Linked DNA regions of Notamacropus eugenii. The protein of the gene in region 1 interacts with the protein of each later gene in a biochemical or structural test. Links are inferred from orthologs where the notes say so. Each region holds a gene or a part of one and is shown on either strand. Other genes may lie near its edges.

The links.
Region 2: the proteins of ATF7IP (region 1) and uncharacterized protein form a complex in vitro, tested with the Homo sapiens proteins (2 studies listed by BioGRID). The link is inferred for Notamacropus eugenii from reciprocal best matches to the Homo sapiens genes ATF7IP and MBD1.

What each region holds. Positions count from the first base shown.
Region 1 is NC_092874.1:196,063,595-196,071,427, forward strand, and holds the start of ATF7IP (activating transcription factor 7-interacting protein 1), read right to left. Parts: upstream 3,257-7,833; 5' UTR 2,868-3,256; coding exon 2,842-2,867; intron 1-2,841. UniProt on the Homo sapiens protein: Recruiter that couples transcriptional factors to general transcription apparatus and thereby modulates transcription regulation and chromatin formation. Can both act as an activator or a repressor depending on the context.
Region 2 is NC_092879.1:101,936,295-101,944,057, forward strand, and holds the start of uncharacterized protein, read left to right. Parts: upstream 1-4,568; 5' UTR 4,569-4,590; coding exon 4,591-4,677; intron 4,678-5,425; coding exon 5,426-5,577; intron 5,578-6,258; coding exon 6,259-6,376; intron 6,377-6,465; coding exon 6,466-6,581; intron 6,582-6,821; coding exon 6,822-6,904; intron 6,905-6,989; coding exon 6,990-7,030; intron 7,031-7,126; coding exon 7,127-7,261; intron 7,262-7,355; coding exon 7,356-7,484; intron 7,485-7,763. Other genes in the region: CXXC1 (CXXC-type zinc finger protein 1), read left to right, coding at 74-229, 677-1,047, 1,235-1,442, 1,530-1,640, 1,977-2,026, 2,133-2,229, 2,334-2,486, 3,284-3,430. UniProt on the Homo sapiens protein: Transcriptional repressor that binds CpG islands in promoters where the DNA is methylated at position 5 of cytosine within CpG dinucleotides. Binding is abolished by the presence of 7-mG that is produced by DNA damage by methylmethanesulfonate (MMS).

The DNA.
Region 1 (7,833 bases):
ATATTAAGACTTTTTGAAAACATAAAAAGTTGTTACGTCAATAAATTTAACTTTTTTTTTTTTTAAAGCACTACCCTATACAAAACTGTACAAGAAAAACCACAGGGCACATGAGAACAACACTTCTCAGTCATGGATATTTCTTTTATTTTCATAGGTTGCCCCTGATGATCAGCAATGTGAATTTCTTTATTTCTGTTGCTGGGGAGATGTCAGACGCTCCATTTTGTTTACAATTTATTTATTTTAAATGCATTATTTCAAACTTCTCCCCAGTACTCACAGATTTCCTTTTGCATGAACTGACTGATGTTTTTAAGCAAGGATGTTTAGACAAGTTTTAATGAGTATATATAGAAAAGTTCACAAACATGAAAGAAGAGAAAAATACAGCCTCGTAAGATAATTTATGTGAGGTAGCAGGCAGATGTCTGACACATGTGCATGTGTGTTTTGTGTACTCCCATATTTCTCAGTTAAGTACAGTTTTATGTATTAATCTGGTGTTTCTCATGGGGAAAAAAATGGAACATAAGCAAAATGTGAAATTCAAATTATTTCCTGATATATCAATCACATTAGAAGAAATTTATGTTTTCAAAATAAGAATTGTAGCAAAATAACATTCAGTGTGCCATGGCAGCCAAAAAATATTTAATTTCTGGCTGCATGAAATTATGTAATTTTAGGATCTATAACAAGGGCCTTATATGTTATAAACATTATTCCCAACCAAACCACATCTGGAATATTACATACAATTCTGAACCCTATATTTTAAGAACAATGACAACCAGGAATGTGAGGGTCTTGAAACAAGAAACTTGCCACAGCAATTGTAACAGGATAACCATGGTTATCATTCAAGAATCCTATGCTATAGATTAAAGGAACTTTCCAGAGAGAAGCCCCCCCCCCACTCCACCCCCCCCACACACCTCAAGCAGAGAAGCTTTGCTAGCTTGAAGGAATGACTAGAAGAATCTCACATATGCTACTAGGAGAAAACCTATCAAATACTTGGCAGCAAAAAAAATATATAATTAGCACTGGCTGATCACTCTGAGAGGGTAATGAAGCAATTATATGCTAAGGTGACATGAAAAATAAGGAGAGATGATAGCTTCACTAGATGTACATACATTATGTGCAGAAACTCTTGAGAACAGCCAGATAGACAGCTATTACTCAATTCTGGTAATTCATCCAAGGACAAATGAGAACACTTGAAGGAATTCCTACTCCTATAGCTAGGCATTACACTTGGGTATGATTGAACACTTTAAGAGTGCAGGTGGCATTTTTTCATCATTACTGCTGATCAAAGATAGGGGCTTCAGAGGGGGATAAAATGTTGTGAGTGATCAGTTAAGAAGGTGGCATCTGAGAAGGCCATGTGGATTTTTCAACAGTTAAAATCGGCCTGAAAACCTGCACTCTCACCTAAAGGCCTTTAAGCAGAAAACTGAGTAGAAAAGAAACTGCTTACATGCCATATGCCAGCTACCAAGCCATATATCACAATAAGCAGCAGATACAAAAGAAAATGAGGGGGTTGGATTCAAAGGCCTTGAAGGCCTCTTTCAGATCTAAAATCTATGATCCTAAAATAGTGTCTATCAATTAATTATAGGCACTTAATGCCTTCCTGCTCATTGGTAAATATCAAAGGAGAAGGGGGATTAATGAAATTTCAAGGCCTCAGATGTCTGTAAACAATTGTACAAATTCTGGGTGATAAACAAGAGATCATGAAAGAGAGACCACAAATGTAGCCAGCAGGTCATGTAGATCAATATGACATATTCCTGTGAGGAAACCCAAGAAGGAGTGAGGTGAAAAAGTACAGTACAAAACTGGGATTAATGGAAAAAAGACATACAGGAATATTACTGGGATTAGTGGAAAAAAGACATATAGGAATATTACAGTCAACTACTTGGTCTCCCTGCCTAACACTCCATTCATATCTGACCAAATTATACCTCCCTGCCCTCTTCTCACCCATCCCCCATTTCAAATAAACTCCAAAGACTATTATTTCTAGGATGAAATATAAAATCCTTTATTTGGCATTTAAAGACCTTTACAAACTGACCCCTTCCTACTTTTCTACATACTTTAATCCTCTCTACACAATCGAAAATTCTCACATAGACCTCCACCTCCTGACTCAATGTTTTTGCACTGGCTATATCCCCTCATTACTAGCATGCCCTGCCCTTTACCCTCCTTCAAGACTTAGCTCACCATCCCATCTTCTTGCAGGTGGGCTGTTCAGGTCCCCTCAGCTACTAATAATGCCTTCCTTTTTTGTTTCAGATTCTCTACATATACTGTTATTCCCTTCTATGTACATATTCATATGCTGTTTCCCTCATAATACATCCTCTTTGAGAGTAGGGTTTTTTTACTTTTATTTTTGCCTTTCTTTGTAGCCCAGCACTCAGCACAGTGCCTGGCACATTGTAATGCTTGTTGCCTGACTGTTGGTCCTCTATATTCAGAAAGGTCTCCTTTTCTATTAGAATCTGTAATTTCCTCCAAGAATCAGAATAAGGCCTTTCCTACCCCCTGAGTTACTAATATGTTTTACATGTATTTGTATGTTTATATATGTGTATTTGCCTATCCTATTTTAGTATCAGAAACTATTTAACTTTTGTTCAATCCCCAGCAGCTAGCATATTGCCTGACACATAATAGGTACTTAGCAAATAAATGAAAAAGCATTTATGAAATGTTTAATGTGTGCCAAACACAAGCCCTAGGGATACAAAAACAAAAGTGAGACATTCCCTGTTCTAAAGCTTATTATAAGGAGAGAAAATATTCCCTTACTGGTAGCCAGAAAGAGGTATTCTCATCGATGATGTATGTAACAGTAGGGCAGATCACTGACAAAACCTTTACAAAGCTAACGGTAAAGCTGATTTGATTACTTAAAGAGGTGGAAGGTTAAGAGATATTCATAGTAACAAATCTGAAAACAGCCAGGGTAAAGATGAGGATGAATAAATGGGGTCCAGGGAGTTCAGAGTTGAATGTCATAGCTTTTTCCAGAAATGGTCTCTGAAGGACTGGTTTGGAGGGTGGGTCAGCAGCAGGATGAAAATGGCCAGTGTAAAGATGAGGCTGCATAGGCTCAAGGAGTTCATAACAGAGTGCTTTAGCACCTCCTAGGCATGGTTGAAGGTCCAGTTTGAAGCAGAAGCAGGGCAGAAAATGGCCAGAGAGAAGGTGAAGATACATGGACCTAGGGAGATCAGAGAGTGAAATGATTGACATATGATTTCTTGCTTGATTATGTACCAAGAAAGAAGAAATATATGGTGGGTTTGGGGAAACAGACTATAAACCTAGCATTCTAAGCAGAACACAGTAGCAAATCTGGAACTTGTTCATACCTCTCCAACAGCTTTTTATTTTTACTTTTAGCATTCTTGACTTCACTAGGGTTTAACTGTTTAAAGCAGCTGGGGGGCGGGGGGGGGGTGATAACTGATCATTAGAACACTGATAATCTAGACCTGATTTGGATCACTAAGGAATAACTCACTGAAAAGCAAACACAATGGAAACCTAGAGAGGAGGCAGTAACAAGTCTCTCTTGAAGGGTTTGTGAAACAGGAGTTTAGTCTTGCTCTGGTTGGTGCTATACAGCAAATGAGTAAAAGGTGCAGAGCAAGAATTTTTGGCTTTACACTTAAAGTTCCTAGCAAAGCTATCCAAAAGTTCAACAGCTTGTCAAATCGTATGCTGAAGACATCACTGGAATTCTTCAAGCAAAGGCAATGTGAATGAAGTTATACCAAATGCTTCCAGTAGGACTTGTACTAGATTCATCTCAGAGTCCTTCCTTCTTTCTGTTCTAAATCTTGTGATTTACTGCCAACATCCCAAGTGAGAAGAGATCATTTTAATGTATAGACAGCTTTTAAAATGACCATCAATTCCAACTATGAACTTGCCAGTGTCAGTCCACTAGTGACTACTACATACACACAATTACATAGTATAATAATTTACTTTTTTCAGTTTCCAGTAGTCCTATCAAGTATAGAAACAATTCGAAAAATTAATGTAACAAAATAAGATTAAATGTAACAAAAATCCTTATTGTAAGGATTTAGGATAGTGTGTATAGTGTTGTTTTTTTTAAACAGGAACTACCAACTACAATCAAAGTCTTAAATTTTAAAAACTGCCTTAAACGATTCAGTATTTTTGCACTAAAAATCCTCTGAACTCCTGAATGAGAACTTTTAATCTAGAAATAACAGGTAAACTTCAAGTAAAAGTTTGTAAAATAAGTTGTCATTTCAATGGAAAACATCAAGGAAATATATATTTGGAAAATGAGGTTGGTCAAGTAGTGCAGTAAAGGAGATAACAGACATACAATTTGTATTGCACTAATTATGAAACACTAAAATATCTGAGGAACGCATAATACAACTAGATAGAGATCTATCAGAGAACATAGACAAGAATCATACAGGTTGACTGGGAATGAATTTTCTGTAATCTGTACCCATAGAGGAAATCATAAATTCACTCTCAAGTGTGAAAATACTATTCTGTTTTAGGACTTATGCCCCAAGATCATAGGATTATGTTCATACAAATCATGAAAGCATCTATAAAACGTCTATTACTTGTCTCAATCATAACCTACAGTGTTTATCACAGTTTTACATACATTAGGCCACCTAATGTTTGTTGAATGAAAACCTATCTATAACTCAACCTACCAAATTTCACTGAAAAACTGAGAAAAAAAAGGTTAAAACTCATTTTCCACCTTTCTTTATGGGGTAGGGGAGGAACGATGGCATTATATATACTGTAAGACTTGGTATTCAGTTTGCTAAACTGTTTTTTTTTTTCTTTTTTTATTCTTTATCACAAGGGATGATAAAAGAAAGTGGAAGACTATGTTCAGAAAAAAGATGACATACAAACAAAATATATAAAGTAAAATTTAGAAAGAAAATACAAGTGTAATTATATGTAGCTAGATATGAAGAGAAAAAGAAAATGGTTGGGCTCATGGCAACAAACTGTCAATAACTTGGGATATGAAATTATGAAAAGAATAAAATCGTAGAACACAGAAATCTCATTGTTATCTGAAGTGGACAAAGTAAAGAGGAATGATGACACAGGGACAAAAGCACTATAGATTCACAGTAAATGTGGGGAAGGCATAAAATGGATAGTAAATATCCAAAATAATCTAGGATTGAATACTTTATTTTGAACTTAAGAGAATAACAGCCAGGGACTTTCTAATTGCTTACAAAATATAAAAAACAAAAAAGGAGTGTTCGTGGGTTAATCTTAAAATAAAGATGTTATGTTTTATATGTATATAAAATATAGTTTTCTATAACATATAATATAAAAATATATTTTATGTAACAATGTAAAAGGTTTTGTATTTTAAAAAAAATACTAAACACTTAAATTCATTCCCTATTATAAACAAGTTACCGATCCACCATGTTTTGTTACTTCACCAGAAGTAGAAGGCAGAATCATAAAGGTGATAAGTCTAAGTAGACAGCCTAACTTTTACAAAATTCTGCATAAAATTTTCCAAAAATAGGATTTATAAATACCATTCTAGTTAAGGCATTCAAATTAACAGATGTAATACATTATACCCAGTTGTCAAATTAGAATATACCAGGCACTTTATAATAAAATTCAATTGAATTAATGTAGTGACTCTGTTCAAGTATTCTCTGACAACAAAGGCTCTTTTAAGTAGACCATTTTTTAAAAGAAGCACAATATTCTTATATATTACAAAACAGTACTGGCAGAAATCCCAAGCTGTCAGTTGGTTTGCTTCTCTTTTTAACAATGTAAGTTTCCCAGAACAGCTTCGAAAATAACATTTTGAATTTGTACAAATTCCTTCACTTGCAAAGAGAAGAAAACTGTAGGAAGTGCAAATGCAATTCTATTTTTCTGTTCTGCTTCTCTATATAGAAATGCTCATTTTATTTGGTGCTAAGTACAGAATTTTTAAAAATTTCATTTAATAAATTTTTTAAAAGTAGGTTGTGGATGGGGACCAAAACATTACAACATAAATGGAGAAAAACACAAGCTTAACAGATTACGTTAAAATGTGAATGGATTAAAGAATCCATTAAAATGAAAGACAATGACAAAATAAGAAAACAAAACCTAACAAAATGTAGTATACCAGAATACATCTAAAAAACAAAGAGAAGTGTAGAATGAAAATAAGAGGCAAGAACAAAATATATGTCAGATGAATCCATAAAAGCAGGTATTGCTAATTGTGCTAAAACAAGCAAAAATAAATATTCACAGCATCAGGAGAGATAAAACTTTTCTTCTTTCTTCTCATACACTGAATGTGGTAGGATTCTGAGATTATACTTAGTACTTTCCATTACAAGGGAAGGGAGGAGAGGGACAATTTTCCCTTGCCTCCAGACTATTATGGCAACTACTTGCATGTGTTAATAAAAGTATGTCTTTGTCTAAGTGGGTGGGAGGGGTAGAAAGGGAAAAAAAATGGAGACCTTAAACCTAAATGAATCATGGACAATGACCATAACAAATTTTTTTAGAAATTTCAATTGAAATGTATAGCATCTAAATTCATAAAGTAGGTTACCTTTATTACAAAAAGACATAGGAATAACAATTATAGGAGTCTTAAATGTTCTTTTCTCTGACCTAGAAAAATCTAACAGAAAGGGAAAATATAGAACTGAACACACTTGGAGAATTTAGAGTTGGAAAAGCAAGGGAATTCTCTGGATGTTAGCATTTAAGATTGCAAAGATCTTTGGATGTTATATGATAGCTTTATAGAAATAAACTATGTGCCAGGGCACAGAGAATTAGTAAATGTATAAAAGGCAGAAACAACTACATTATTTACTGATGTTAATGAAATTAAAATAAAAGGATACAGACCTACATGGGGACTTAAGAATGATTTGCTAAATGAATGAGTCAAAGAACATATCATAGAAAAAAAAATTGTAAAAAAGAATAACAATGAGACAAATTGTAAAAGATTTCTGAACTGCAGAAAAAACCGTACTTAGAAAAAAATGTATTTCTGAGAACATGCATAAACAGAACAAGAGCATTACTTAACTTTTTAGAAAATCAAACAGCACCAAAATCAGCACACAAAAAAGATTTTAAAAATTAAAGATAAACTTGGAAACAAAAATGCTGTAAGTGATCATAAAATTTAAAAGCTAGTTCTCTGTGAAGACTAACAAAATTAATAAGCTTTTAGCTAACCTGATGAAAAAGGAAAATCAAATTACTAATAAAAATGAACATGGTGAAATCACAAGGAAATAAAACAGTCATAATACATATTATGCACAATTATATTTAGTCAGCAATGCTGAAAATTTTAAAGAAATGAAGGATTAATTGTAAAACTATCTAAATTAACAGAACACCAAATAATTTTTTAAAAATTAAACTAAGAACCACTAAAAAATGAATTCTATTAAGGAGTCTCGACAGTTTTCGAGCTTCCTAACTTCCCTCTTTTGGGTACCACCATCCTTACAGTTATTAGGTTTCTCACTTCCCCATACCTGTGCCTCCTCACCCAATCATACTTAGCTCTTGGCTCCTTCCCCATCACTGACAACCAATCCGTCATCAAGTCTCACAAATTCTATTTTTGTATCACCTCTCAAATGTCTCTTCCTTCTCTCTGTTCATTTGTTTACCAATGTAGTTCAAGCTTTCCTCATTTCATTACTGGCTCCCTAACGGAAGCCCCTACTTCCAATTTCTTAACTCTCCATTCAA
Region 2 (7,763 bases), on another chromosome or scaffold:
ATCTAAGGGATTGCCTCCTGGTTCTGCAATCTCCTGGGCTGCCCACCTACAGCACCCGCTGCTTCCTCCATAGCAGAAACTTCTTCGGGCACGGGAAGAACATTTCCAGATGTTAAAGGAGCCCCCAGAGGCCGTGGCCACCCCTGAAGCCCTCTCTGATGAGGATCTGCCTCTGGACCCTGAGCTCTATCAGGACTTCTGTGCTGGCGCCTTCGATGACCATACTTTGGTGAGGGGCTGGGCCCTGTTCCTTCTTGTGCAGATTAGACTGGGCCTCTGGAAAGCCCCTTCACGTAGGTCCTTTATCTGTTTTCTCTGCTTAGAACCTTGGAGTGTCTTCTCCAGCATGAGGTAGCATGAAATACGGACTGGGTGCTAGATTTGGGGTGTAAGCATGTGGGTCGGAAGTCTTGGGATCTTTAGGCAAGTTATTTCACCTGGGGCAAGTAATAAGATTGGATTTCTACAGCCTCCAAGGTCTATTCCAACTCTCAATTTAGAATTTTATGTATTCAAGGGGAGAGAAAGGACACTCTTTTTTTGTCGTGGCTCGGAGCCTGTAGTGGTTAGACAGTATTCCCCAAAGGGCCAATCAGTGCCTTTCTGCTGGCTCCTTCTCAACCTGGTCAGAGCAGAGGGGTGATGGGCTCAGTGGCCTATGCCTTCCTGCTCCCAGCCATGGTTGAGTGACCCTGAGGATGCACCTTTCCTGGACCCAGTACTTCGGAAACGTGCAGTGAAAGTAAAACATGTCAAGCGGCGGGAGAAGAAGTCAGAGAAAAAAGTGAGTAGCAGGAGAGGCGGTAGTGGTGGGCAGTGGGGAACTGTCCAGAGGCTCACCAGCTTCCCCCTCCCGCCCCAGAAGGAGGAGAAATATAAGCGTCACCGGCAGAAGCAGAGGCACAAAGAGAAGTGGAAACACATTGAACGCCCAGATGCCAAAGACCCAGCCTCCTTGCCCCAGTGTCTGGGCCCCAGCTGTGTCCAGGCTGCCCAGCCAGGCTCCAAGTACTGCTCTGATGACTGTGGCATGAAGCTGGCTGCCAAGTGAGGATGCCATCCCCCCATCTCTTGCCCACATTACATGAGGCCTGACTTCTTTCCCCATTTTGTCCCACTCCTGCTCTTCTACTAGCAGAAAGCTATAGCTAGTGTGGCTCCTGGGGAGGACTCCAGAGACCAACTGCCCTCTGGGATCCCTTCCCATGCATATCTTGCCCTCTTTCCCTGGCAGTCGTATCTATGAGATCCTACCCCAGCGAATCCAGCAGTGGCAGCAAAGCCCATGTATCGCAGAAGAACATGGAAAGAAGCTTCTGGAACGGATCCGAAGGGAACAGCAGGGGGCTCGGATGCGCCTGCAGGACATGGAACGTCGCTTTCACGAGCTGGAGGCTGTCATCCTCAGGGCCAAGCAACAAGTGGTACGCGAGGATGAGGAGGTGAGGAGGCCAGGTTGTGGGGAGCCCCTGGGAAAGGAGGTGGTACTCACAGTCTCACTTTGGGGCTCCATGGTTCCCTGTTTGTAGAGCAATGAGGGAGACAGCGAGGATACGGACCTGCAGATCTTCTGCGTCTCCTGTGGCCATCCTATCAACCCCAAGGTGGCATTGAGGCATATGGAGCGCTGCTATGCCAAGGTGCCTAGCCCCTCAGCAACTTGGGGAAGTTCCTTAGGAGGGTAGCATCCACTGGGGTGGGGCAGGCCAGAAGGGGTAGTCCATGTCCTTTGGAGGGCAGGGTCCAGGTTGGTTTGGCCTGAGGAATGGGGGAGTGACTGACCTGTGCAGGGGGGACAAGGGTTGGGGGAGAGATAACGACTGCCCTCAGAACAGTGGGGATGGGCCACGCTGCCCTTCACAAAGTGGGTGCCTTCTTAAGAGACTGTCAGGGGAACAAGTCCCTGCTGATGAGGGCCCTGGCTCTGTAAAAGGCACATTCAGGGCATTGTGGGATCTTAACCTTGTCTTCCACAGTATGAGAGCCAGACATCCTTCGGGTCGATGTACCCCACCAGAATCGAGGGGTGAGAGAGGGCACCTTGGGGAAGGGGAGGGCAGGGAGAATAGAGTCATCTTCTCACATTTCTGATAAGCATATGGTTCCCTTGCTCCTAACCCCTATCCCACCAGGGCTACTCGCCTCTTCTGTGATGTCTACAACCCCCAGAGCAAAACCTATTGTAAACGCCTGCAGGTTCTGTGCCCCGAGCACTCCAGGGACCCCAAGGTGAGTAAATTGTGCTGGGGACATAGTCTTTGCTATCATCTCTTGTGGTCTTGTGCATCTCTGATGACTCATTTGGCTTGTGTGCCTGTTTGGGGGAGATGCAGGTACCAGCGGATGAAGTATGTGGCTGCCCCCTGGTACGGGATGTGTTTGAGTTGACGGGAGACTTCTGTCGCCTGCCCAAACGCCAGTGCAATCGGCACTATTGCTGGGAGAAGCTGCGAAGGGCTGAGGTGGATCTGGAGCGTGTGCGAGTGGTGAGACTTCTTGGTTTTGCCTGTGTGGACTTCAGGCAGAGAGGAGGCTAGAGCACCTGGCATGGGGTCTTGGGCCCAGTTGGAGGCCCTCTCCATTCTGCCAGCTCTGGGGGCACACTGTCACTTCCCATGGATAAGGGCCTGGAGCCTTGGCAAGGTGGGGAGAGGAGCGAAATGAGGTTGGACGAGTGAGGTGACCTGCCCTTGGAGCTGGGGGAGAGGCCGGATTGGGTTCATAGGGAACGGGGAGGTCAGCAGACTTCATGCATGCACAAGCTGAGATCAGTGACCAAGTGTTTATGTGACTGGTACTGAGCTGAGCTCTGGAGATAGAGAAAGCCACAGATGACAACTCTGTCCAGATAACTAGGTGGGATCCATTGGGGTATCTCCGAGGGAGGGTGCTAAGGTTAAGGGGATCAGGAAAAAGAGTTGTTGCACAAGGGCAGAACTTTAGCCAAGACTTGAGGTGAGCCATGGAATTGAGCAGCTAGAGATGCAGATGGGGAGAGTGCCAGGCATGAGGGATAGCCAGAGAAAATGCTCTGAGTTGCAACAGGAGACTGTTTTTCTGGGGGAGGGAACTGGGACTGAGGCCAGGTAATGCATTCTCACCCTGTGGAGGTGTGGGGTGGGGGAAAGCAGGTGGAAGGGTGCAGTCCTTCCAGCCTAGAGGAGCAGTATGATAATTCCTCACACCCCACCCTGGCAACAACAGCAGCAACCAGAGCAAACGTAAGGGAGAGAGCTGGGCCTGTCCCCATGAAACTCCACAGCCTTTCCCTTTTCTCCCATAGTGGTACAAGTTGGATGAGCTGTTTGAGCAGGAACGGAATGTGAGGATGGCCATGACTAACCGGGCTGGCCTGCTGGCCCTAATGCTGCACCAGACCATCCAGCATGACCCCCTCACCACAGACCTGCGTACCAATGCTGACCGCTGAGTCCAGCCCTGAGGAGATGGCCCTCATGGCTTGGGCCTCCATCCCCAAGTGTGGCTAGATCCCTTCCTTGGCCTGTGGCCAGCTTGCCATTCTACTCCCCATCTCCTCGTGCCCTTTTTTGCTTCCTTTGTTTCTGCCCTGTCCAGCCCTACTCCTCAGCCCTTTGGGTCGCTTTAGTCACCCCTTCGTAACCTTGGTAGCCCACGCTGCTCTGGTGACTGATGTGGCGGGTTGAGGGGCCCTGTGGCTGAAACTCCAGAACTGAAGTTTGTTCACAATAAATTTGGGAAGAAATCCACCTGTGGCTTCCTTTTGCATCAGCTGTTGTGTGACTCTGACCCCCACCCTGGATGGGGTGGGGCAGAACTGAAGTTCAAGGTGTCTGGATGCCAGACATCCCGGAGTGGCCAGTGAGAGGTCACTGCAGTCTAAGGAGGGGGAGGGCTCTGAATTGAAAACTGACCCATTTTGCTAATGCTACCTTTGAGGCCTAGACCTAGTGTGGGTTTTAAGTTGGCAGCTTCCTTCATACAAGTTCATCTCATTTCTTCACTACCACCCTGGCACAGAGCTACTGCTGCTGTGCCCACTTTGTAGGTGAGGAAACTGCCTGAAGAAGTAGGAGGGTCACGTTTTGAGTGACCCAGTTAGGATTTGACCTTAAAAGTGGCTAAGCACTCCAGTATCTCTGCCAAGCAAACCCCAAATGGGGTCCTAAAGAGTTGGGCCTGGGGCCAGGGCCTCTGAGCACCCTCTAACTTGTGATGAAGGCTGGGAGGTGCTTGGTGGTCTTTGTGGATGCAGAGCAAAGGCCAGGACCCATGCTCCCCCCAGATATCAGGCTCTGCTGTTTATTGGGCTGGGGCTAGAGAGGTGCATGCCCAGGGACCACGAGAGGGCCTGGCATAGGCTGCCTGGCTTGGCCCACCCTCCTTTCCGGGGAGACCCTCTGAGTGCAGGGGAAGGGACACCTGCCAGAGCCAGGGCCATGCCCCTGGGGTCTAGGGCTTAAGCCTGAGACTGGGGAACTTGGGCTCGCCTCCTGGCCCCACCCCCACCCGAAGGCCCCGCCCCTAGCCCAGCTGGCCCTCGCTTGGCCTGGAGCTGGGACTGCGTTGGAGTGGGGGCGGGGCAGGGCCGGATTTCCGGTTCCGGGTTCTATGGACAGTGGGCTTGTTGCCGGGGCAGCTGGGCCTTCTAGAACGGGCAGAGGACGCGGACCGGGCAGAGGGGAGCCGGCCGAGCAGGTAGGAGGGAGCCTGACCGCGGGGTGGGCTCTGGCCGAGCCGGAGGCGTCGGGGCGGGGGCCCGGGGAATTGGAGGATTCCTCCGGCGGGGCGGGCAAAGGCGCGGAGGCGGGAGAGAGAGCAGGTCTTCGAAAAAGGCCAGCCTGGGCGCAGGGGGAGGGCTACGGGGAGGGACCGCCGGGCCGGGGCGCGAGGCCCGGGGGTAGGGAACCCGATCCCGCGCGCCCCCCGCCCCCCAGCCTCAAGTAGTGGCTTCACCTGGGCCTTCCTCGATAGCCCCCTGGCAGGGAGCGAGCCCCTGGCAGGGGGCCCTCCTTGTGTGTCCCCTCCCAGGGTGGCCTGCCATCCTGGCACTTCTTTTTCTCTTCCAAGGCAGCCATTTTACCTCTGCTTCCCCCATCTTAGGGCACCTTTGCTGGACTCAATCACCTCAGGCCCTGTGGGGCACTGGGGACTCAACCCTGGCTTTTACTGCTCTGTTCCTTAACCTCCAGCTATTCCCTCCTCCTTCTTTGGCCTCAGTTTCCCCACTTGTAGATAATTCTGCCTAAGACTGTGACCCTAGGTAATGCCTTCCATTCATTGGGTTCTTCTCCTGGGAAGGTCTGAGTCTTTACTTAAGGGCTGGGTTGAGGACCTGGGAGGTGGGGGGCAGGTGAGGCAGACCTATGGGCTCAGGGTCACCCTTTTCCCCTCTGAGCTGGAGCCTTGGACTCCCAGCACCCACTGACCTGCTTCCCCTCCACAGGCGGCCACCTGTGGCACTGACCACTCCTTACCTTGGTCCTCTATGGCTGAGGACTGGCTGGATTGCCCTGTGTTGGGCCCTGGTTGGAAGCGCCGTGAATCCTTCCGCAAATCCGGAGCCTCCTGCGGCCGTTCAGATACCTACTATCAGAGGTAGGCAGGACCCATGGTCTTGATGGGGTACTGCAGGGAGGTGGGCAAGGGGTTGAGAGCTTTGAGTTGCACTTGGTTCTGGGGAGGTGTGGATGGAGCTTCTGGGCGACCGCACCGTGCCATCACTCCTGGTGCCATGCCCAAGCACTGCCCTAGGTGGGGTTGGAATGACTGCCTTGGGCCTGGTAGCCTTACCCCTACCCCCAACCTCTCAGTTGGGTTGATGTGGGCATGGGGAGGGGAAGGGAGGAGACAATCAGCATTTCTAAAGTGCCAGGCTATGTGCCAGGCCTTGTGCTAAAGTATTTTACACATAATTTTATCACAACTGCCTTGAGAGGTAGGTGCCATTGTGCTTCTCATGTTATAGCTAAGGCAAGTGAGAAAAAGGAAGAGTTGACTTAAGCCAGGCCACACAGCCAGTAAGTGTCTGAGGCAAGAATTGAACCCAGGCCTCTAAGTAAGAATTTTTCTTTCTTAAGAGCAGAGGCTAACCATGGACTCAGCTGCATTGGACCCAAGGGAGGGGGCAGTTAACTGTGGCTAAAGCAGGCCTTGGAGTGAGGGTGGTAGTTGGGAGGAACTGCTGAGTTCTTTGGCGCTTCTAGGCTGGACCAGGAACATTCAGGGAAGCATTTCTCCCCCCCCCCCCCCCCCCCCCCCTCTGGCTCTCCACTGCAGCCCTACTGGGGAGCGGATCCGAAGTAAGATCGAGCTGACCCGATTTCTGGGGCCAGATTGTGACCTGAGCCGCTTTGACTTCAGGCACGGTGTTCTTCAGTACAATATGCCTGCCAAGGTATCTGTTACTGCTAGGGAGAGGGAAGTGGTCAGTGAGACTGCCGGGAGGCATAGGGCCCTTTGGGAGTTCTGCTCTTGTACCCTCAGGCATCTCAAAAGAAGAAGAGGCAGCCTTGGCACAGGAAGGCAGTACCATCTGTCAAACAGAAGCAGTCTCAGCAGCTCAGGTTCAGTCCTCCCCCACCCCAGGACCCTCAGCCTCGGTGAGTGGGAAACATGCTGGCACATCCACCCTCCAAAGCCCAGTGGGACAGCAGCTGTGGGGGTGGGACAGCAAGCTGTCCTCCAGGCCTTTGAGGCTGCTGCCAACGTAGTGTCCCTTTGGCACCCCTGGGAGGGGACAGGATGAGATTCATGAGTGAATGGGTTGTCCGTGTGGTCCTTGCACCCCCACTCCCCCCCCACCTGGGGGGGTTTATTGGCTGGACTCCCTTGTTTCTCAGATGGTGTGAAAACTGTGGAGCCAGCCTCTTAGGGGACAACACTGGGCGTCAGCGACTCCGGTCCCTGTGTCAAAACTGCCGAGGTGGGTTTGGGCCAAGCCCCAGGCTGGAGCGTGGAGGAGGGGCCGCCCTTGGCTATTCGTACAATCTCTTCCTTTCCTCCCCCAGCTCGGAGAAATGCCTTCAACCGGGAACAGAGAATGTTCAAGGTAGCCTTGCTGCTTAAGCCCCCACTTAGGGCCGACCCTTGGAGGGGAGACTGTGGGGTGTGACCTAAGCCTTGGGATCTCCTGTTTCCTTGGCAGCGCGTGGGCTGTGGCGACTGCGCAGCCTGCCGGGTGACCGAGGACTGCGGTGTCTGTAGCGCCTGTATTCGCCAGCTTCCTCAGCTCCCCCGAAGCCAGTGTGCGCAACGCATCTGCCTCAAGATTACCAATAAAGTCAGTGGGGCTCCCGGGGCCGGGGCGGGCTTGGGGCTGGGGCGGGCTTGGGGCTGGCCCCTCACGCTGCTCTGGCCCTCACTCTGCTCCCCAGAGTTTCCGGTGTGGCCTCTGTTCTGCTTGTCAAACCAAAGAAGATTGTGGGATCTGCCGAATTTGCAAACGTAGAGAAAGACCGGGCCTCAAGAGAAGGTGGAAGTGTGTCCAGAGGCGCTGTCTCAAGGTGAGTGAGCCCTGGGCATCCAGCAAGCACCTCAGGCCACAGGCAGATTGGTGAGCTGAAGGTTACGGAACAGACCTTGACTCACCCAGGCTAGCCTCCCTTTCTTAAAAAGTCCAGTTTTCTTTATTGTTGTAAATATCCAGCCCTTTCACTTTACAGAGGAGGAAACTGAGACTTCCCCACAAAATGGCCCCAGTGAGCCCCGCCTCCCTCTCTACAGTTCAGCCCCCAGTACAGTGTTCTGGGGGTCCCCTGAGTGCCTGGGCATATCTGTGACTC